Caenorhabditis elegans: one gene and its partner. The protein of the gene in region 1 purifies or fractionates together with the protein of each later gene. This does not show direct contact. Each region holds a gene or a part of one and is shown on either strand. Other genes may lie near its edges. The genes, in order: smg-4 and smg-2.

The links.
Region 2: the proteins of smg-4 (region 1) and smg-2 purify together in Caenorhabditis elegans (affinity purification with western blotting, with the first as the bait; one study listed by BioGRID). This does not show direct contact.

What each region holds. Positions count from the first base shown.
Region 1 is NC_003283.11:9,770,696-9,781,266, reverse strand, and holds smg-4 (UPF3 domain-containing protein), read left to right. Parts: upstream 1-3,521; 5' UTR 3,522-3,524; coding exon 3,525-3,664; intron 3,665-3,717; coding exon 3,718-4,043; intron 4,044-4,095; coding exon 4,096-4,604; intron 4,605-4,942; coding exon 4,943-5,074; 3' UTR 5,075-5,332; downstream 5,333-10,571. Other genes in the region: F46B6.5 (LisH domain-containing protein), read left to right, coding at 1-513, 558-645, 842-1,062, 1,109-1,303; F46B6.4 (Hflx-type G domain-containing protein), read left to right, coding at 1,750-1,811, 1,857-2,027, 2,074-2,785, 2,873-3,007, 3,056-3,382; UPF0587 protein F46B6.12, read left to right, coding at 5,467-5,469, 5,603-5,749, 5,798-5,879, 5,954-6,063, 6,112-6,273; F46B6.2 (uncharacterized protein), read right to left, coding at 6,386-6,484, 6,917-7,322, 7,366-7,472, 8,091-8,224, 8,274-8,368, 8,417-8,547, 8,781-8,837.
Region 2 is NC_003279.8:1,171,172-1,182,893, forward strand, and holds the start of smg-2 (Regulator of nonsense transcripts 1), read left to right. Parts: upstream 1-5,301; 5' UTR 5,302-5,303; coding exon 5,304-5,450; intron 5,451-6,706; coding exon 6,707-7,248; intron 7,249-7,831; coding exon 7,832-8,220; intron 8,221-9,075; coding exon 9,076-10,016; intron 10,017-11,247; coding exon 11,248-11,332; intron 11,333-11,700; coding exon 11,701-11,722. Other genes in the region: haf-6 (Mitochondrial potassium channel ATP-binding subunit), read right to left, coding at 2,637-2,924, 4,213-4,456, 4,518-4,582. UniProt on the Caenorhabditis elegans protein: RNA-dependent helicase required for nonsense-mediated decay (NMD) of aberrant mRNAs containing premature stop codons and modulates the expression level of normal mRNAs.

The DNA of each region.
Region 1 (10,571 bases):
ACTTCTCACCCCACTATCACACGACACCGTCGCTATTCCGAGGCACATCACAGTACAAATGTTCAGAGCGATAGAGAATCTATATCATCCACGTCGTCTCGATCCAATGCTCCCGAGAAACGAGAACGAGATGCGGAGAAGGAGAGAAAAAGAAAAGATAAAGAGCATCGGCGGGCATTAGAAGCTGACAACAACAAATATCATGCAAGAGAAAAGGAAAAACAGAAGCAGCCATCTTTTCATCAGAAATCGAATGAGCAGCAGACATCTGAAATTCCTGTCATCATTCGGACAACGCAAGTGGGTGGAAGTGACAAGCCAAAGGATCCAAGAAAACAACCGATTGGATCACCCAGTTCGGCGAAGCGAAAGCATGATGATGTGGCAAGACGTGAATTCAAAATCCCCAAAAAGCATTCATCCTCGTCAAAACCTGATAGTCGGTATGGAAGTAGTTCGCATCCCAAAGAGTCATCGGCTATGCAATCAAAACCATACAAATCAAGTTATACGGTAATGAAAAATCATCTTTAAAATGTTTTTATTTCTATTTTCAGAAATCACAAGCAGATCAAGAGTTGTGTGACGGAGACGATCGTAAAGATTCCACTCATTTTCTCAATCCTGTTGGGCACCTTGCGCGGTGTAAGTATTTGTTTAATTTTGCAAGTGGTGTCAGAGTGTACCATATCGTGGTGATTTACAATAATTGATGGAATTTTCCTCCCAGAAAAGTCGATTGCCCCGAAATGGGAACCTGCGGTACCACTTTCTTTTGTTTTCTTTTCTTCTAATGATTCACCACTTTTTTAAATAACGAAAACTCACAACACGATAATAGTAGCTTCAGTATCATCACTTCTGGTCAATTGCGATACAACGTACCAACAATTTCATGATGATTTGCAAGAAAAGATATCAAAGTCGCGTAGATCAGCAAATTTGCCCTCATTGTCGCCTGCAAACTCGGAAGAGTATTCCCATAATAATATTCCAGTGAACAATCATCCAAAAGGTCAATCCTTTGCTCCGAGAAAAGGAGCTTTATTGAGTGCTAAACCGGTATGTTACACGTACTCAATATGTCTAAACAGTACTGATCTTTCAGAAACTGTCACCAACTTCATCCAGCCACTCAACTGATCCAGAAAGTAGCTCCTGTGCTAGTTCAGACAATGAAACTTCAGATGCTACTTCGCAGAGAAGTGTCGCCCGATCTCCAGACGCCAAAAAGACTCGTTTAAGTTCACTCGATCTATCAAAAGCAGAAAAAATGTTAGATAGAATTCATGGTCCAAAATAGAATTTATTATTTCGTTTTCATATAATTAATCTTATTTATTATTTTCCGGGTATGTCCACAAGTCATTCAAAACATTTTTCCATTCTATAATTCAGCTGTGTTACTTTTTTTATGTATATCCTATGATCCTATATCATGTTCCCATTTTTTTTGTCCGTTCAATAGGTTCTCCCAACCATATCAATTGTATTCCTGTAACTTGAGTTTTAGGCATATCCCAGCCGATTACAAATATTGTTTTATGGAAGAGTTAGTCTTGAAACTTATTTTCCCGCTTTTCGTACCCATTAGAATTTCAATTTTTGGTTTTTCAGTTCGAACCCCTTCTGATGAAGTTTCAATCGTCTTAAAATACGCTTAATCTGATTATATTTGGTAATATATTCCGTGTATAGATTTTTACTTTGTTAGAAATATGAAAGCAGCTTCTCAAATATTATTTCAGAATGTTTATTCTACGATTATCAAGGCAGACAGTTTTGTCATTTCGTAATCTGAGTATTGGTAGGTGAGCAGAATTTTCTATATTTCCAAAATTTTATTGATCTCTCAGTTCTGAAGTGGCAGCTCCTTCTGCATTTGCAAATGATAGGTGGTCAGTGTTAGTTGTGCATCCAAAGGTTCGATGGGGATCTGGATCAGCTTCAGTATTGAAACAAGCAGATCGACAACTTGAAGAAGCTGTTGCACTTGTCGATAATCTTCCAAATATGAATGCTGTTGAGTAGGTTTTGGAATGATATTAATTGATATAACTCATCTAATTTCAGCAGTCTTATCATGCCAGTCGACTACAATACAAAAAGGAAAGCTGTTTGGGCGTCTGGAAATTTAGAAAAGTTGATTGCTCGACGAGAAGCTGCACGTGCCACTGCATTAATGGTGAATGTTGATGCATTGAGCCCATCGCAGCAACAAGAACTCTACCGAATTTTCGAAGTTCCTATTTTTGATCGATACAACATTGTTTTGGCAACTTTCAAACAATTTGCAAAAACTGAAGAAGCTCGGATTCAGATTGCTATTGCCGAAATTCCGTACATCAAACATCGAATTCATGCTCTTTCATCGAAACGATTGCATTCACGTCCGGATATTCTACACATTGACTCACACTATTCCGATATCGATGGCGATCTGAATGAAATTCTTCGAAAACGAGAGCAAGACCTACGTAAAGAGCTAAAAGATGTGACTCGGAAAAATGTTGGACAACTCGGTGTGAGAAATTCATCAGACGCCGTTGTTGCAGTTGTCGGATACACGAATTCTGGAAAAACTAGTTTAGTGAAAAAACTGACTGGAGCCGCATCCCTGACGCCGAAGGATCAGTTGTTTGCCACATTGGACACCACACGCCACTTGGCAAAGTTACCTTCTGGTCGATCAGCTGTGTTTACTGATACAATCGGATTTTTGAGCGATTTGCCAATGCATTTGATTGCGGCATTCGAAGCTACGCTGGCTCATGTGAAATCTGCGGTGAGTCATGAGTCATTGAACAAAAAGTTTTAATTCGTTTTCGAAATTCAAATTCGTTATAAAAATCGTGATATTTATTTTTTGTAGGATGTGATAATCCACCTTCGAGACATTTCCAATCCGGACTGGAAAGCACAAGAAGAAGATGTTCTGGCAACACTTAAATCCATTGGAGTTACAGATTATGTACTCAACGAAAGGATAATTTCTGTTGATAACAAGGTGATATTTAGAAAAGTTTTCTTCCTTTTCCTAATTTTTATTGTTCAGATCGACAAAGAATCTGCATTTCCCACTTCCGAATCAAACAATTCCGTACGAATTTCGTGTAAAACAGGTGATGGTATGCATGAACTCATTGATGTTATCAACGATAAAGTTACAATGGTTACAAAGTGCAAAACGATTCGACTTCGTCTGGATGCTCGATCACCAGTAATTGAATGGCTTTATCATAACGAATTAGTGGTCATTGAGCCCACCATCGATGGAAATTATTTAATTTTTGACGTTGTTATGAACGAATCGGAAATCGGTCGATTCCGTAAAAAATTTGCTCATTTAAAAAAGAAGAACTCACAATCTGTTTCTCTATAAAATAGTAATAAATATTTTTTATTTATTTTACAACTGCTTATTTGTTTTATTCATCCGGTCTGCACCCGTTAAATTAATTCTTGATTCTTTTAAAAATGTAGTAATTTTTATTATTTTTATTATTTTATTTATTATTTTCAGAATGACCGATTCAAAAGACGGTCATGTGAAAGTCGTGTTGCGTCGTCTTCCAAAATACATGACGGAGCATGAAGTTCTTGAACAGATTAGTCCACTACCAGAAGAAGTCATTGGAACCTATTTTCATCCTGCTAACTTTTCGTGTGTTCTAAAAATTTGATGTTTTGCTTCTAAAGTCATAAACATTTTTTCAGGTTCGACCGATGTGCTTATGCAACGCTTACAGTAAATTTTTCCGAATACTGTGATTCAATGATGGAATTTGAACGGCGATTCGATGGATACATTTTTGTCGATTCTCGTGGAAATGATTCTGCTGCAGTTGTTGAAGCTGCTTCCAATCAGAACTTTGCAAAATGTGATCGTAATCGAATGAAGGAAGATACACGTGTTGGAGCTATTCTCACTGATAAATACTATTTGGATTTCTGTAAGAAGCTTGAAGAAGAAAGAGCTATTCCAATTCTGACTCTGGAACAACAAATTCGGAAACTTAATCAGCCTGATGATGCTAGAACTCGTTAGTATTTGATTTTTCTTAAAATATTAAAACATCATTATTATTATTATAGAAATCGATAAAATGGAAACACCACTTGTCAAGTATTTCTTCGAAAAAGAAACTGGAAAGCGGAGAGATTACGATGCTCGCAGACAGAGACGTGACGAAAAGAGAGCTGAGAAGCGTGATAAAGTTGATAAATTTGAAAAGCATAAGAATGTTCTGGATATCCTTATGAAGCCCAGCGTTCCGATGGCTTCAACGTCTGCAACCACGTCGAAGAAGGATTTGAAGAAGGAAAAACCTATGACAGAAAAAGAAAAAGAACGGTGGGAGAAGCAGGACGCAAAAAGAAAAGAACGAAATATGATTCGCAAACAAAAGTTTCTTGATGAGAAGAAGAAGAAACATGAAGAGCGGGAACAAGATGGACCACGTGTTCCAAGAGATAAAAAAAAGGAACGTCTCGCAAAACCTCCCCGTCCATCTCCAGCTAAAACTGTTGGCGAGCAACAAGGCGAGGATTGGATTAAGAAATTAACTGATCCGAAGTCAGCTCCAATGAAAAAGAAACACGATGTAAGTTTCATTTTTCATTTCTCAAAATTTTTATAAGTTCTGAGCTTGTTTGAAATACGAATTAAAATGATCAGACATCATATTAAAGTACATACTTTTTAAAACTTTGTCTGGTCAAAAAAAATGAAAATTGCTCTGTTTGATATTAATAACTTTGAGGTTGACCAAAAAGTTGTTTTCTACAAATTATATTCAAAAAATCTAAATAATCTGAATTTTTTGAAAAATTGACATTTTGCCAAAACTTGAACCGTAGGTTCTAGGAACTATTTTACTGAGATTTGATGAAATAGTTCACTTTTTTCTGAATAAAAAAAAGTTACTAAACTCTTTAAAAGCTTTCAGTCACCACCAAACTGAATAAGGAAACCGATACACGGCCACGAACGGCACCATCTTCTACAAAACTCCCAACTCGTGCAACTACGTCCAATCATCCAAAACGTCCATCCACTGCACCGAATCATTAGCAATTGTTGTTAAAGATTAATGTTGATTATAAGAGGAGTAAATGGATTTTTTTTGTTTGATTGTGAAACCGTCATAATCGTTTTCTATGTGCTACATTTCTAATATGTTCACTTATTCCATTCTCTGTATTTTCGATTATCAAACATTCGAAACTCATCTTATGATTTTCTACCCTCCATTATTACAGCTTATGTACTCGTTTTTTCCCTTTTTCCTTACTCGCTTTATAGTTTTGGAAAATAAATTATAAATACATTTTTTGTGTTATGCTATTTCATTCTAACGGGAAGTCCCTGTGGGAATGTCTCCTCATTTTCTTGACAGCCTCCGTCAATTCTTCACTAAAGTGTTGTTTAGGTGACCGGAGGACGAGACCATCTGCGCGTACAAAATGGTAAGGAATACCAATTAGAATGTGCTCGGAGAGACATAAGCACAAGTTTCTTCCGCGCGGATAATTAGGGTTGACTTTTTCTATTTACGAACAAAGCAATCCGATAATTAGCATAATAACTTGAGAATTTCAGCCTTTTCTTGCTCTCGAACTGAAGTGTCAATTGAAAGGTATCACTGATCTTCGTCCGGATGACACTGATTCGTTTCATTGGCACATGAAACTTAAGTGTACTAATTGTGGTGAAGCTCCAGATCACTGGCAGTATGTAGTGCTCAATGTGAGATATTTCTAGAATGTTTTCTTTTAAGAAACAAATCTATTTTAGGAGATGCTTGATGTTCCAGGAAGTCGTGGTGAGGCAAATCTTGTGGAAAAATGCAAGCTGTGTGGAAGAGTCAACACTTTGAGTGAGTGAATCTTAAAATATCTGGGATCAAAGTTTTGCGAGAAAATCAAATTAAGTATATATAAACATTTTCAGCCATTGTCGAGGATATGTTCAAAAGCTACAACATCGAACAAAACGAGAAATGGCAACAGATTGCAGTGTTCGATTGCCGTGGACTTGAACCGTTTGATTTTGATCCGAGAGTACGAAATTTTGAATATATTTAATTCAAAAATGTGTGATTTTTGTAGGACGAATGGATTGCCAAAAGCGTTGAAACTGGAAACGCATTCCACGAGATTGATTTGAGTGAGAAGGAATGGGTGGACTTTGATGATAAAGCAATGGAAGCCGTTGAGATTAGCGAGATGTCCTCCCAATTCACCACCATTCGTGATCCAAAGAAGAAGTGAAAAGTTTAAAGCATTCCATTATTCCACGTGCCCTACTATTATTTTTATCCAATCTGATGTACTGATTTTGTAAAAATGATAAACTTTATATATACGCAACAAAACATTAATTTCAATAGTATAAGTATTGCTTTTTGGTTGAGAAAGCTGATCGCATGGAGATGGAAAACTGTATGCATGAAAAAATGAATAAGAGAATGTGTACTGTTATCTGAAAAATGTGTTTTCCGCGTGGTGGAACCGTAGGATATAAAAATAATTTTCATCTTTCAACGTCTACGTAATAAGTTACAGTAACCCGTGTCAATTTGGGGGATCGTTTTGCTTTCTAATTTTTTATTGTAAAAAACCACATGGTGTCAGGCTGTCCCATTACGGCTTGATCTACAAAAAGTGCGGGAAGTTTTTCGCAAAAAATGGGACGTCAGCACGTTCTTAACCATGAAAATACAGTTGAGAAGTCTAAATCCCTCGTTTTTGTAGATTAAACGGATATGGGACACTTTGACACGACGTGAAAAACTTGTGTATTTATTTGGAAAAAGATTATTCTCAAGTGACCCTAAAATTGGCACGTTACAGGAACATCCATGATTTGGCAAAAATTAGGATCTTTAGACGTCAACGAAATAGTCAAATTTACCTGAATAGCAGCAATCTCTCTTTCAGTTTCCTGTGGTAACCAATCAATATATGGATGAGTAAAATGAACAACTCTCATACAATATGCTTCTCGATGTGACAACCAATGGCAATGCCTTGTAATCATATGCGGAACAGTATTTCGATTAAACCAGCAGAATATACCAAAACTTGTGGTAGCATTCATAAGAACTGCGAATGCTGCTCCAATAATGTTTAAAGCTCTAGTTGTTGAACCATGACATTTAGTTCTCCATGAAACAATTCCTTGAAGTAATGAAAACATTCCAATTGCCAATGGAAGATATAGAAAAAAGAATGTGCAACAGTAACGAAGATGAAAAAATGAAACAATAATGATAAATATTGATATGACGACTTGATAGTGATAAGAGTATAAACGGATTCTGAAACTTAAATGTAAAATTACATTTTCAATATTAAAATTACTTGGTTTCGGTTGCACTGTAGAATGTGAGTAGAGTACATATTAATAGATGAATACCAGATAAAATAGTCAAAGAAATTGATGTGAAAAACCGAATCCATTCGCGTTCCTGAAAAAGTTGGTATATTCAAGCCATTATTGCGAATTGGGCATTGTATCTCGCCGTAATGCCTACTATGGCCTACCGTACTCCCTACGTTACTGTACGATCAGGGGCAAAATGGGAAATGATTAAAAAGTGTGAAGCCCGCAGCAAGGTATGGATATGGTAAAGTTTTTTGTTCATTATGCATAATTTTTGAGCCACTTTTCAAGGCATTTCTTGCTAAAGGTTGCGATAGCCACGTTAAAATAAGTTCTAGCGCTACATTTTCAATCTATGAAATTATAAACTTTTTGAAATTTTTTAAAATGAAAATGCTAAAGATGGCCCTTCCCATCAGTGTGTCACAAAACGAGTTTCAAAGATTTTTCAAAGGCTGTATGTAGTAAAAAGAAAAAAGAAAAATTACTTTTAGAAAAAGAACTGCTAAAAACTTTAATATCTGCCTTAATTTCAAAGAACCTAATTTTCATCCTTGAAACAACTCGCCTCCAAAAATGAAACAAAACCTGGTATTGAGTAACAACGTAACGCAAAGTCACCCTACCTACAGTACTAAAATTTTTCGTTTTTTATAGTTAGGAATCCATATGATTTATTATTCTTGTCATATACATGCATTACCTTAGGTTCCCATCCAAATTTATCGAGAATCGACAATTGTAAATTAGCGAGTAAATCGTTGCAAGACCCAACCATTGCAATTGTTCGATATTTTAATCCGTGGCATACTCCATCTTTAATTGTTTCATCTGCATCTGAAAAATAATTTTTAAATCTAAAATTTTAAATGCAAATAACTCTTACATTTAAACTCATTTATACAGTATGTTTCCATTAACGACGAGAAAAAGAAGAAAAATCCAATTGAAGAACATGTTAATTGTAAATAGAAATCACATCTAAAAATTTCAAAATTTAATATTGAAAACATTAAATTTTATAAATACCGATTTGGGTACCGAAGAAAAATTGCATGGAATGCTGTGACCAACCCGAAAGCAGAATTGATAAATGGGAATAAAAAGAAAAATAATGGAGAACAGTAGGCAATGTGTGCTCCTCCAAGAGCGAATTCAAACTTAAAATAAATATATTATAGTGTTCATCAGAAGCGAGTTTTTTTGATAATGCGAGGAAAATATAATGTACTTCAACATTGGGCAAAAATATAATCCATGTTTCAACTTTTGGGGTGTTTTCGCATGCAGTGTTTTTTAATAACACAATTTCAATTGATGTATTGAATAAAAGTTTCAATACTACTACTAGAACGATTTTCTATATTTTTGTATTTCAATCAAAACCACTTACCACTGCAACCACCGCCAATAACGGATATAAACTCCATTTAGGTCCTGTCGATGCCATTTTTGTGGAACGAGAATGAACTCAAAGCACAAGTCTAATTAAGAATGTATGAAGGAAAGCAGTCGCAAAAAACCAAGAATTGACAAAACTATGGAGGACTAACGAGATGAAAGTCTTCGATGAACGGAGGGAGTTGTCGTCGGAAAAAAGAAAGAGTAGGAGCAAAAGGGAAAAGGGATGACACGATGAGATGACAGCAAAATCTGCAAAAGTGAGGAGACAGAAAGCTTGTAGGAGCAAGAGGAAGCTCCAATTTTTTCCGAGGGAAATAGAAATCAAATCAACGAATTGTGAGGGAGTCATGATGATGATGATGATTATGATGGTTTTGGGAAGAAACATGGGAGCATCTTCTTCTGGTTTTTGGTTTCCAGAATATGATCTTGAGGGCGAGTGCATTAAACTTTCGGGGTCCAACAGTGAAAATTCATATTACCGTTGTTAATATTAGTCTTGAACTCCAACTGCTCCAGCCCATATATTGATTAACTTTGGTTTGATCCAAGTGATCAACTTTGAAAATTGATAAAATTAAAAGCCAGGATCAAAGTCATCCTTTTTATAGACCTGGACGCAACCGTACCATAATCTTCCAATTGGGTAAATGGAATGAAACAGTGAATAAATCTGCTAAAATTCTACAAAGAAATGTCTGCTTTCAAAAATAAATTAATGGATCCACTTACTCACAAATGACTTCTACAGTCTAATTTTTTTTAAGTTTGAAAATTTAATTTCAAACTATACTGTTGTACTTCTCATTGCTAGATAATTTTTCCGCTTTTTGCCATTTGATAATAATATTTTGATGAAAAAAACATACGCTATCTTGAATATGGTTACTTTCAAAAACAACTGGCCGTATGTGTTCTACTCAAAAGTTTCTCTAAATTTAATAGATCATTTCGGTAATTACAATTTGTTTTATGAGGTTATAATGATTAGTATCATTCAATAAATATACTTGAGCATGATGAGAGGAGAAGTGCCAAAGGCTTGGGCACAATCCGTCGTTATACCACTAGGGAAAACTACTAAACCTAAAGACTCAAAAGACTTTCGTCCTGTTAGCCTCACGTCAAATATCTGTCGAGTATATGAGCGATGCTTACTGAAAAAAATAGAACCGTATCTTAGAGAAATCAATTTTTGGAATGAGAACCAGCATGGGTTCAGACCTACAAAATCAACGATCTCTAATCTGATGAATAGTTTGAATGACTGGACAAGCAACCTAGATCTGGGAGCCCAAATTGACGTCATATTTAGATTACAGCAAGGCATTTGACAGAATTCCCCACGACATTCTCCTCAATAAACTGATACGCCTGGGACTGAATAAACATATCATAGTCTGGATCAATAGTTTTCTAATAGAAAGGACATTTAGAGTTAAAATAGGAAATACACTATCTACTGTAAAAAACGCTAAATGTGGGGTTCCGCAAGGCGCTGTACTCTCACCAGTTCTTTTTGGAATTTACGTTAATGAGATCCCAACAATACTGCCCGCAAATGTTAAAGTGCAGCAGTTTGCAGATGACACCAAGCTGTATGTACACACGCCAAAAGGCGACCAGATTAATAGTCTGCAAGAAGCAATAGACAGAGTAGCAAATTGGTCCGTCAGTAACAAATTGGCTCTTAATGAACAAAAAAACCGTCCATCTCACGATAGGGAAAAAACGCCAAAATTTCACTTATAAGATAAACGGCCAGGATATCAAAAAAGAG
Region 2 (11,722 bases), on another chromosome or scaffold:
TGGAGCGCGAAAAATTCAATGAGGAAGGCCAGAACCCCGTGAATTTTCAGGTTGAAAATATAAAATTTTGCTATATTTAGCAAAAAAAATTGTTTTTTTTTCACGGGCTCCTGACATTTCTCATTGCATTTTTCGCGCTCCATTGACAATCGCCTGGGAAAGTCGTGTACTCTACACGGACAAATACATTTAGTTTTACAACTAAAATCGAGCCGCGACGCGACACGCAACGCGCCGTAAATCTACCCCAGATATGGCCGAGCCAAAATGGCCTAGTTTGGCGAAAACTCTTCCATTTCAATTTATGAGCGAACCCAGAAATCCGTGAAAGTTAAAACTACGAGAAAAAAAGGAAGTTTTTTTCAAAATTTGATTTTTTTGGCAGTTTTCAGATAAAAAAAACAGGATTTCCTTTTTTTCAATTTTAACTTTTTTAGAACAAAAATACAGGGTCTCGACACGACAATTTTTCGGTATAAATCAATCTGCGCCTTGAGGGTACTGTATTTTCGAGCTTTTCCTTTCTGCGAATTTTTTTCCCAAAATCGTGGGAAAAAAATAATTTTTACAACTACAGTAACCTTTAAAGGCGCACATCTTTCTGTATTTATAAGGAATTGTCGGAACCCAGAAATCCGTGTAATGCCTAAAAAAAAAATAATGTCCCAAAAAATTTTTTTTTGTTTTCAAATATTTGTTTTAGTTTTTGATTAATTTTCAGTATTTTTCTGCTTTAACTTTTTGAAAAATTAATTAGGGAAAACTCTAAAATTTTCAATTTTTCGTGTTTAATTTTCTCTAATTTTCAAAAATAAAATCAAAATTTAAAAAATTTACTCTAAAAAATTCTGAAAAAAACTTTAAATTTAATTTTTCTGCATAGTTTTCTTGTTTCCACTATTTTTATTTTTCAAATATTTTTAAATAAATTGAGTTACAGAAAAAAATTTCGATTTTTTTTGAAAATTTTTAAAGAGCTTCAGAAAAAAAATTATTAACTTTTTGTACAGTTTTCTAGCTTTCATAATCATTTTTAAAGGTGGAGTACTGAAATTTGGAAAATATATTTAATAGATTCCAAATTTTCCCCTAATTCCGAATATCTATGTGAAAAAATCCAAAAAAAAATTCCCCTAATTTTATATTTAAGCTTGAAATCGCTTGTTCCGGAATCGCTTTTTTTCAAATTCGCGCCCAAAGAAATTCGCATTGGAGCGCTTTTTTTTTAAATTTTCTTCATTTAAATATTTCATTTATTTTTCGCCGAATTCAGTTTTTCAAAATCAGTTGCATTTATTTTTGTCGAAAAAAACCGATAAAAACTCGACTAAAATGAATGAAACTAGTTTTAAAAACACTGAATTCGGCGAAAAATAAATAAAATAAATATTTATAAATGAAGAAAATCAAAGCGCGCTCCAATGCGAATTTCTTTGGGCGCGAATTTGAAAAAAGTGATGCCGGAACAAGCGATTTCAAGCGTGCATATAAAATCAGGGAAATTTTTTTTTGATTTTTTCACATAGATATTCGGAATTAGGGGAAAATTTGGAGTCAGTTAAAAATATTTAATAGATTTCGGTACTCCACCTTTAAAAATGATTATGAAAGCTATAAAACTGTACAAAAAGTTAATAATTTTTTTTCTGAAGCTCTTTAAAAATTTTCAAAAAAAATTAAATTTTCAAAAGAAAATTTTCAAAAGAAATTTTTCTATTTTTCTAAAAAAAAAATTTTTGTAAAGTTTTTTCACAAATTAAATTTTTTTTTTCTGTAACTCAATTTGTTTAAAAATATTTGAAAAATAAAAATAGTGGAAACAAGAAAACTATGCAGAAAAATTAAATTTAAAGTTTTTTTCAGAATTTTTTAGAGTAAATTTTTTAAATTTTGATTTTATTTTTGAAAATTAGAGAAAATTAAACACGAAAAATAGAAAATTTTAGAGTTTTCCCTAATTAATTTTTCAAAAAGTTAACGCAGAAAAATACTGAAAATTAATCAAAAACTAAAACAAATAATTGAAAAAAAAATTTTTTTTGGGACAATTTTTTTTTCAGACATTACACGGATTTCTGGGTTCCGACAATTCCTTATAAATACAGAAAGATGTGCGCCTTTAAAGGTTACTGTAGTTGTAAAAATTATTTTTTTCCCACGATTTCGGGAAAAAAATTCGCAGAAAGGAAAAGCTCGAAAATACAGTAGTACCCTCTTTAAAGGCGCAGATTGATTTATACCGAAAAATTGTCGTGTCGAGACCCTGTATTTTTGTTCTAAAAAAGTTAAAATTGAAAAAAAGGAAATCCTGTTTTTTTATCTGAAAACTGCCAAAAAAATCAAATTCAAAAATCAAACATTTTAGAGTTTTCCCTAATTAATTTTTCAAAAAGTTAAAGCAGAAAAATACTGAAAATTAATCAAAAACTAAAACAAATATTTGAAAAAAAAAAATTTTTTGGGACAATTTTTTTTTCGGGGATCAGGGGAAATTTTGGAGTCAATCCATCTTTAAATTGCAAAAAATTAAAAATGTCGAGTTTTCAAAAAGATTTTTTTTACTGAAAAAAACCGAAAAAATCGGAATTTAAAAAACTAGGCCACCAAAATTTCACCGCGGCCACCCACGCTCTTACATGAGAATCAAAAAATGCCATATCATGGTGCAATAGCTTCTGAAACAAGTCCGACCGCATTTTCGTCGCCATTCGTTCTCCGAGAACCGTTAAAAATGTGATATAAAGAAATGTGAGAGCAGATTGTGCAACATATAGTGTCATTAAGTGCAGAGCAGATGGCTTGAGCTGTTCAAAATGAGATCGTAAATTGTTCGACTCGTCCTTGATGATTTTCACGATTCCGTTCACCAAATCGCCCAGGCATAGTGGAATTTGAATGTTGATGTAGGCTGAGAGGATGGCGCACTGCAAAAAAAACTGATAATTTTTCTCAATTTTTTAAGGAAAAATTGACTAAAATTAAAATTTTTTTGTTTTTAAAATTTTTTCTGGTGAAATTCCGAAAAAATTACAAGATTTTCGTACAATTTAATGTAGAAATTAAAATTTTTAGCCCCCCAAAATAACTGAAAAACTTCAAATTCCGAGATTTAAAACAAAAATTTTGTAATTTTTTGTAATTTATCCGGACAAAACCGACTTTTAGCCAATTTTTTCTTTAAATGTGGACTCCACTCTGTGGGAAAATTGCTTTAAAACATGCCTATGAGGCCATAATGACCGAATATCATTAATTCGTATGAAATCAATGAAATTTCATAGTTAAATTGGAAAATGGCAACATTTTTGCTTAAAATTTGTAAAAAATCATGTTTTTTGGGCATTTTTGGTGATTTTCTTTCGATTTTTATGATATTTCGGCGGTTTTCACCCAATTTCATTAGAAAAAATTGAAAAAATCTCAGTTTTTGCCTAATTCCTAATTGAATTTCCGCCAATTGGATTCGTTCGTTGGAGCGCACTTGCATTATTTTCATTAATTTTTTAAAATTATTTTTTATTATTTCACTGATTTTCTTCATTATTTGTGCATTTTTATCGGAAAAAAGAACTGAAAAAGCAAGAAAAATACAAAATGTTTGTTAAAAAGTAACTGAAAATGCGTAAAACTGTGATTTTTTGAGTTCTGAGGACGACGAGCCTGAAATTTGTATTATTCATGGAGTTTTAGGTATTTTTAGTCACTTTTTCATAAACATTTTGCATTTTTCTTGTTTATTTCGTTCATATTCCGATCAAAAACCCCTAAAAATGAAGAAAATCAATGAAATAATGATAAAAAAAATAATGCAAGCGCGCTCCACCGAACAAGTTCAATTGGCGGAAATTCAAATAGGAATTAGGGGAAAACTGAGATTTTTTCAATTTTTTCTAATGAAATTGGGTAAAAACCGCCGAAAAATCATAAAAATCGAAAGAAAATCACCAAAAATGCCCAAAAAACATGATTTTTTACAAATTTTAAGCAAAAATGTTGCCATTTTCCAATTTAACTATGAAATTTCATTGATTTCATACGAATTAATGCGGAAATTAAAGTTTTTTTGCTGGAAAATTGACAGGAAACCTGAAATAAAATTAAAAAGCAAGATTTTAGGTGAAAATTGCACAATTTTTTGTAAGTTAACTATAAAAATACGTATTTTTCTCGATTTTTCCCAGTTTTCAACCGGATTTTTATCGAAAAATTCACCACAACTGCAGCGAAAAACCAGCCGAAAAAGGGTTTAATCAAATTCCACAGCTCTCCGGCCGTCATTGACGCATTCTGATCCTCCGTCGTCCTCAAATGGTCGATGCGTTTGCTCAATTTCGGAGCACATGCCGCTTTTCGTAGGGTTACAGCTCCTAAACCGGCTCCAAACCCACAAATTCGCCATGTTTTGAGTATTGTTGTCCTTGAAATCGGTTTGTGAAGCCATGGATAGCTGGAAAAGCTGCAAAAAACGGGAAAATATATGGAAAAATGGAAAATCAGCAGATTTTTGCAGATCTTACCAGTGTTTGCTGCTTTGCACGGCGCTTTTGATGGATATTTGGGATAGTTTAGATAGAATTGACATTAAAAACCAGGAAAAATCAATACAAATCAATAAAAATCAGTTCTTATCAGCGATTTTTTCCGATTTTCCAAGAAAAATAATAATCGAGAAAACATAAACTCCGTGCGGCACACTTGCAAAAACCGTGCGCCCACCTTGCAATGAGGTGTTTTTATCATATTTTTTCATTTTTCGACCGTTTTTCGCAATTTTTTCTAACAAAACCTCATTTTTTGTATGAAAATGTTGAAAAAATATGCATTTTCATGGTTAAATTGTTAAAAATCACACAATTTTCGCTTAAAATCATCTAAAATGATGAAATATTGCTCATTTTAAAAGTTGGGGGGATTTTTCAGTTTGTTTTTCAAATTTGAGCTCAAATTTTAGGCATTTTTACCTTTTTCCGATAAAAAGTGAGCGGAAATTGAAAATTTTCAATTTTAATTGTTGAAATTTCCAAAAATGCACCCGCTTTGTGATTAAATTAACACAGTTCTCATTTTCGAAGGTTTTCCGCCAATTTTCGGCAAAAATGTTGAATTTTTACATGAAAAATCTGCAAAAATAAGTGTAAAAGTGGTAAAAAATTACGAAATATTGCTCATTGTTAGATTTTGCAATTTGAAAAATGCTTTTTTGTACTTTTTTCACCTATTTTACTCGAATACCGACAAATTTCTCATGAATGCTATCGATTTCTCATTCCAAAACCCCTCAAAAACGCACTTTTCTTCCAGTAATGGACGATTCGGACGACGAATATTCGAGAAGCCACGGGGAAACCCTCACATTTGTGGATCCCGAGGACGATGGAGTCTCTATTGGGAACACGCAGGACTCTCAGTTCGCCTATGAGCAGTTTAGTGTGCCTACGCAGAGTTCTCAGGTAGAAAATTGCCGCATTTGTGTCAAAAAATCGAAGGAAAATTCTGGATTTTGCTGAAAAATCAAGTTTTTCACATGATTTTTCAGAGAAATTTGTATTCAAAATCCTTTGAATTGATAGACTTTACACACTGAAAAAAACGATGAAAATCATGAAAAAAAAACCACTCGAAAATGGACAAAACCGATGGAATTTGTGATTTTTATTTTCAATTTTTGTTCGAAAATGAGTATAATCCCGTCAATTTGCAATTTTCAGATGCTTTTTTGCCCACTTTGCCCAATCAATTTTTCGTGCAAATTTCAAGAAAAATCGATCCAAAAGCTCGAAAAAATTAGATTTTTGTGCAAAAATTGCAAAATTTTTTGAATTTGGCCATTTTCGATTAGTTTTTCTTGTAATTTTCAAGAAAACAAACCGTCCAATTTTTTTTGGAGATGTTTTGTGATATAAATTATCTTTTCCAACAATATCAACGATTTTCTAGAAGCTCAACGTTAAAAAAGGTTAGAAAATTAGATTATACTATTACGGGAACACAAAATTCTGAGAATGCGTATTGCACAACATATTTGACGCGCAAAATATCTCGTAGCGAAAACTACAGTAATTCTTTAAATGACTACTGTAGGTCGATTTACGGGCTCGATTTTCATTTTTCCTTCGCCAAAATCGAGATTCCGTAAATCGACACTACAGTAGTCATTTAAAGAATTACTGTAGTTTTCGCTACGAGATATTTTGCGCGTCAAATATGTTGTGTAATACGCATTCTTAGAATTTTGTGTTCCCGTAATAGTATAATCTAATTTTCTAACCTTTCTTAACGTTGAGCTTGCTCTGGAAAAGATAATTTATATCACCAAAAACTTGTTTTAAAAAGAATTTTTCTCATTCCTTACTGTCAGGAATCTTGGAAATTGTGATTTTTTTTTCCAATATTTTTGTTTATCGCAATTTTCAGATGATTTTTGAGCACTTTGCCCACAATTTTTCGTGCTAATTTCAAGAAAATCGACCCAAAAGCGTACAAAAAATTCCAAGAAAATTCCAAAGCAATTTTAAAAATTCGACTCTCAAAAAAAAACACCTATTCCAGGCGACAGATCTTAATTTTAAATAAATTTTTATTCAAAATCCTCTGAAAGTGGAAATTTCAGTGGAAAAAAACCAAGAAAATCATAGAAAAGTCCCTTAAAATCAATTTTTTTTGTCAATTTTTCAAAATTCTCAACAAAAAAAAACCCATATTCCAGGCGACAGATCTGCTGCCAGGAGGAACCGATGGAACCACCAACGATTTGCCATTTCACGACGTGGAAGACGACGAGTCGGACAGTGAAAAATCACTGACAGAAGAGCAGCAGCAGCAGAAGCTGCCGGAGCACGCGTGTCGCTATTGTGGAATCTCTGATCCTCTGTGTGTCGCCAAATGCACAGTCTGCAGGAAATGGTTCTGTAATTCCAATGATGGAACGTCGGGCGGGCATATTGTTCATCATATGGTTCGGAGTCAGCATAAGGAAGCCTACACGCATAAGGATTCACCGTGTGGTGACACTCAATTGGAATGCTATCGTTGTGGTTCGAAAAACGTGTTTAATCTCGGCTTCATCCCCGGAAAAAAGGATCAAGTCGTCGTGATAATCTGTAGAACACCGTGCGCCAGTATTGCATTCCAGAATGATGATAATTGGTCGCCCGAGGACTGGAAATCTGTAATCGCTGAAAAACAGCTGCTATCGTGGATTGTTAATGTGCCCAGCGAGGAGCAGGTGGCCAGAGCTAGGAAAATCACGTTAGTGGAGGAAAATCGATTTTTGAGAAAAATTTTAAAATAATAATTAAAGGAATTTCCAACCAAAAATGCAATTTCCGAGCGATCGAATTTTAACAATTTTTAACTAAATCTCGCCGTCCATCGACTTTAAAATACCTAAATCGAGTTGAAAACGCAAGATAATTAAATTGTATACTCAAAATTTGACGGTGGTTACAAAAAAAAAATAGTTTCCAGCCGCTTTACAAGTCGGTCAAATTTCAAATTTTAACTAATTTTAGGCCATTTTTTGAACCGTCATAACTTGTTTTTTGAGAAGTTTCACTATGAAATTCGGTGTTTTCTGAGTTGAATAAAGCAATTTTAAAAAATTCGACTACACCACCTTTAATATTTCTATAGCTTCGATTTTTTTGTTGATAAAAAATCTATTCCCAGTTTCCAAAAGAAATTGAAAATTGAATTTTTTTTCGAATTTTCGTGCAAAAAATTCTCAATTTCTACCGGCATTGGTGCAAAAAGCCGGAAAAACACAAGTGGTATAGTACTTTTAAATAGCTATATATATATATATATATATATGAAAAACTAAATTTTCCAGTGCTACCCAAGCAGTCCGAATGGAAGAGCTCTGGCGTGATCACCCAGAAGCAACCGTTGACGATTTAAATAAACCGGGACTCGATCGAGAACCGGATCATGTTCAATTAAGATATGTGGATGCTCATCACTATTCGAAAGTGTTCCGTCCATTAGTTGCAATTGAAGCAGAATATGATCGAAGAGTTAAAGAATCAGCATCACAAGCAGTCGGAACTGTTAGATGGGAACAAGGACTTCGTCAATCGGTTCTCGCGTTCTTTCATCTTCCACAATTTGCTGATGGTGTCATGAAGCTTGCGAAAGGCGATGAACTTCGATTGAAACATTCTCAGACGGTTGATGGATCGGAATGGACCAAGATTGGAAGTGTTTTCAAGATTCCTGATAGTAAGGGATGGGAAAAATAAAAATAAAAATTTTGAGTAGTTTTTCTTGGAATTTTCAAGAAATAACTGTCCAAAATTTTTTTTTTGGAGATTTTTCCTGATATAAATTGTATTTTCCAGTAATTTCAACGATTTTCCAGAAGCTGAAAAGGTTAGATATTTAGTTTATACTATTACGGGAACACAAAATTCTGAAAATGCGTATTACACAACATATTTGACGCGCAAAATATCTCGTAGCGAAAACTACAGTAATTCTTTAAATGACTACTGTAGGTCGATTTACGACGCGCTTGATTTTCATTTTCACACGAACGAAAAAGTGAAAATCGAGCCCGTAAATCGACGCTACAGTAGTCATTTAAAGAATTACTGTAGTTTTCGCTACGAGATATTTTGCGCGTCAAATATGTTGTGTAATACGCATTTTCAGAATTTTGTGTTCCCGTAATAGTATAAACTAAATTTCTAACCTTTTGAGCTTCTGGAAAATCGTTGAAATTATGGGAAAGTACAATTTACATCACCAAAAATCTGCAAAAAAAAAAATTTCGGTCGGTTTTTTCTTGAAAATTACAAGAAAAACTACTCGAAAATGACCAAAATCAATTTTTTTTTGAGCTTTTTTAACTTTAAATTCTTCGGAAAAATTTTTTTTCCCGCTTTTGGATCGATTTTTCTTGAAATTAGCACGAAAAATTGGGCAAAGAGCTCAAAAATCATCTGAAAATTGCAAATTTACAACAAAAAAATCACAAATTCCATCGTTTCTGGCCATTTTCGAGTGGTTTTTCTGTGAATTTCAAGAAAAATTGCACAAAAAGCTCCAAAAAATTTCACGTTTACAAATTTGCAGACCACGGCGACGAGGTAGGCATCGAAATCCGCGGAGCTGTCGACAAATCAGTGATGGAGAGTCGGATTATGTTCACCGTCGACGTCGTCTGGAACGCCACCACCTTCGAGCGACAGTACAAGGCTCTTGCGGCGCTGCTCAACGACTCCAAAGCAATATCTCCATATCTCTACCAGAAGCTTCTGGGTCATCCAGCCGAGGAAATGATGCTCAAGTTTGATCTACCGCGTCGGCTATCTGTCGCTGGACTCCCCGAGCTTAATAGCTCCCAGATGCAGGCAGTGAAGCAGGTGCTCACCCGACCTTTAAGCTTGATTCAAGGACCTCCGGGAACTGGAAAAACCGTAGTTTCGGCGACAATCGTCTATCATTTGGTGCAGAAAACCGAGGGAAACGTGCTCGTGTGCTCGCCGAGCAACATCGCCGTCGATCACTTGGCCGAGAAGATTCACAAGACGGGATTGAAGGTTGTGAGGCTTTGTGCGAGATCTCGAGAGCACAGTGAGACTACAGTACCCTACTTGACGCTTCAACATCAGCTAAAAGTGATGGGCGGTGCGGAGCTTCAGAAGCTGATTCAGTTGAAAGATGAAGCCGGGGAGCTCGAGTTTAAGGATGATTTGAGATATATGCAATTGAAAAGAGTCAAAGAGCATGAGCTTCTCGCCGCCGCTGACGTCATCTGTTGTACGTGCTCATCGGCGGCTGATGCGAGATTGTCGAAGATCCGTACGAGAACTGTGCTCATTGATGAGAGCACACAGGCGACAGAGCCCGAGATTTTGGTCTCTATTATGAGAGGAGTCAGGCAATTGGTTTTAGTTGGAGATCACTGTCAACTGGGACCGGTTGTTATATGTAAAAAGGCGGCGATTGCCGGATTGAGCCAATCTTTGTTCGAGAGACTTGTGCTTCTCGGTATTCGACCGTTCCGGCTTCAGGTTGGGTCATTTTCGGGAAAAAACTACTGAAATTCGGCATTTTAAATTGAACTTACTGAAAATTATCACTGAACCTTTAAAAAATCGATTTTCTACAACTCGGACTCTAATTTTTGAAAAATTTTGTTTGAATTTTATGAAGGTTCAGATATTTTCAGAAAGTTTACAAGTTTTCTACGAGATTAAAAAAATCGAACCAAAATTTACTTTGTAATTAAAGGTGGAGTAGCGCCAGTGGGGAAACTGCTTTAAAACATGCCTATAAGGTCACAATGACCGAATATCATGATAAAAAAATTTAAAATGTTTTTCTAAATTTTATATGATTTTTTAAAAATTGAAAAAATCTCAGTTTTTGCCTAATTCCAATTTGAATTACCGCCAATTGGATTTGTTCGATCGAGCGCGCTTGCATTATCTTCATTAATTAATTTTTTTTGTTGTTATTTTCCACCGATTTTTAATGTTTTCAGTGTATTTTTGCTTGAATTTTAGAGAAAAAGTAAAAAAAAAAGCAAATTTTCGATTAAAAAGCATGCTTACAGGCGTAAATCAGTGAGATTAGTTAATTCAGGTTCGAAATCGTTTAAAAGCGTTACTTTTTCATTTTTTACACCTGCGATCGCGTTTTTTAATCGAAAATTTGCATTTATTTTGACTTTTTCTCTAAAATTCAAGCAAAAATACACCGAATACATTGAAAATCGGTGGAAAATAACAAAAAATAAAATAAATAAATTTAAAAACGTGCAAGCGCGCTCCATCGAACAAATCCAATTGGCGGTAATTCAAATAGGAATTAGGCAAAAACTGAGATTTTTTCAATTTTCAAAAAATCAAAAATTTAGAAAACTTTTAAAAATTTTTTTATCATGATATTCGGTCATTATGGCCCCATAGGCACGTTTTAAAGCAATTTCCCCACAGGGTGTAGTCCGCCTTTAAGTGACATTTTCAAGAAAACCGCTGCATATGCTATAAAATCCAATTTCGTGAAATTTTGAGATTTAAAAAATGCAAAAAAAATCGGTTTTTTCTCGAATTTTTGACAAAGTTTGGCTACAAAATGTAGCTGTTTTTCAGTTTTTTAAATGAAAATGTTGGTATTTTTAATTTTTTTTCTAATCAAAAAACTTTTCTAAAATATTGGAAAGATCAGTTTTTCCAGAAATTTTTCCGAGGATTTCAGTAGAAAATTCCATGAAATTCTAATTTTAAACCCATTTTTCAGGTGCAATACCGTATGCATCCAGTGCTCTCAGAGTTCCCGAGCAACGTGTTTTACGATGGAAGTCTCCAGAATGGTGTCACTGAAAGTAGGCAATTTTTTATATAATTTGAATTTTTTAAAGGAAAGAAAATTACCTGAAAACTTGAAATTTCGACTTTTCCGCTTAAAAATTCCCAGAAAAATCCACCAATTTCTTTTTTTTTTCTGACGAAAAATTGTCAAGAAAAATAGAGACACGTCCCAAGATCATAAAATTATGGATTTTTCACCAGAAAATTCCAGAGAAAAAAGCATAAAATCCAATATTTACAGTTTTTCCTGACAAAATCCTGAAAAAAAACCAATTTCCCGCAGAAAGCTAGCTAAAAACTCCAAAGATTTGCTGGAAAATTCGAGAAAAAAGCTCAAATTTTACTAAAAAAAAAAACCCTTTTAATTCAATTATTTTTGCAGACGATCGCCATATGACAGGAGT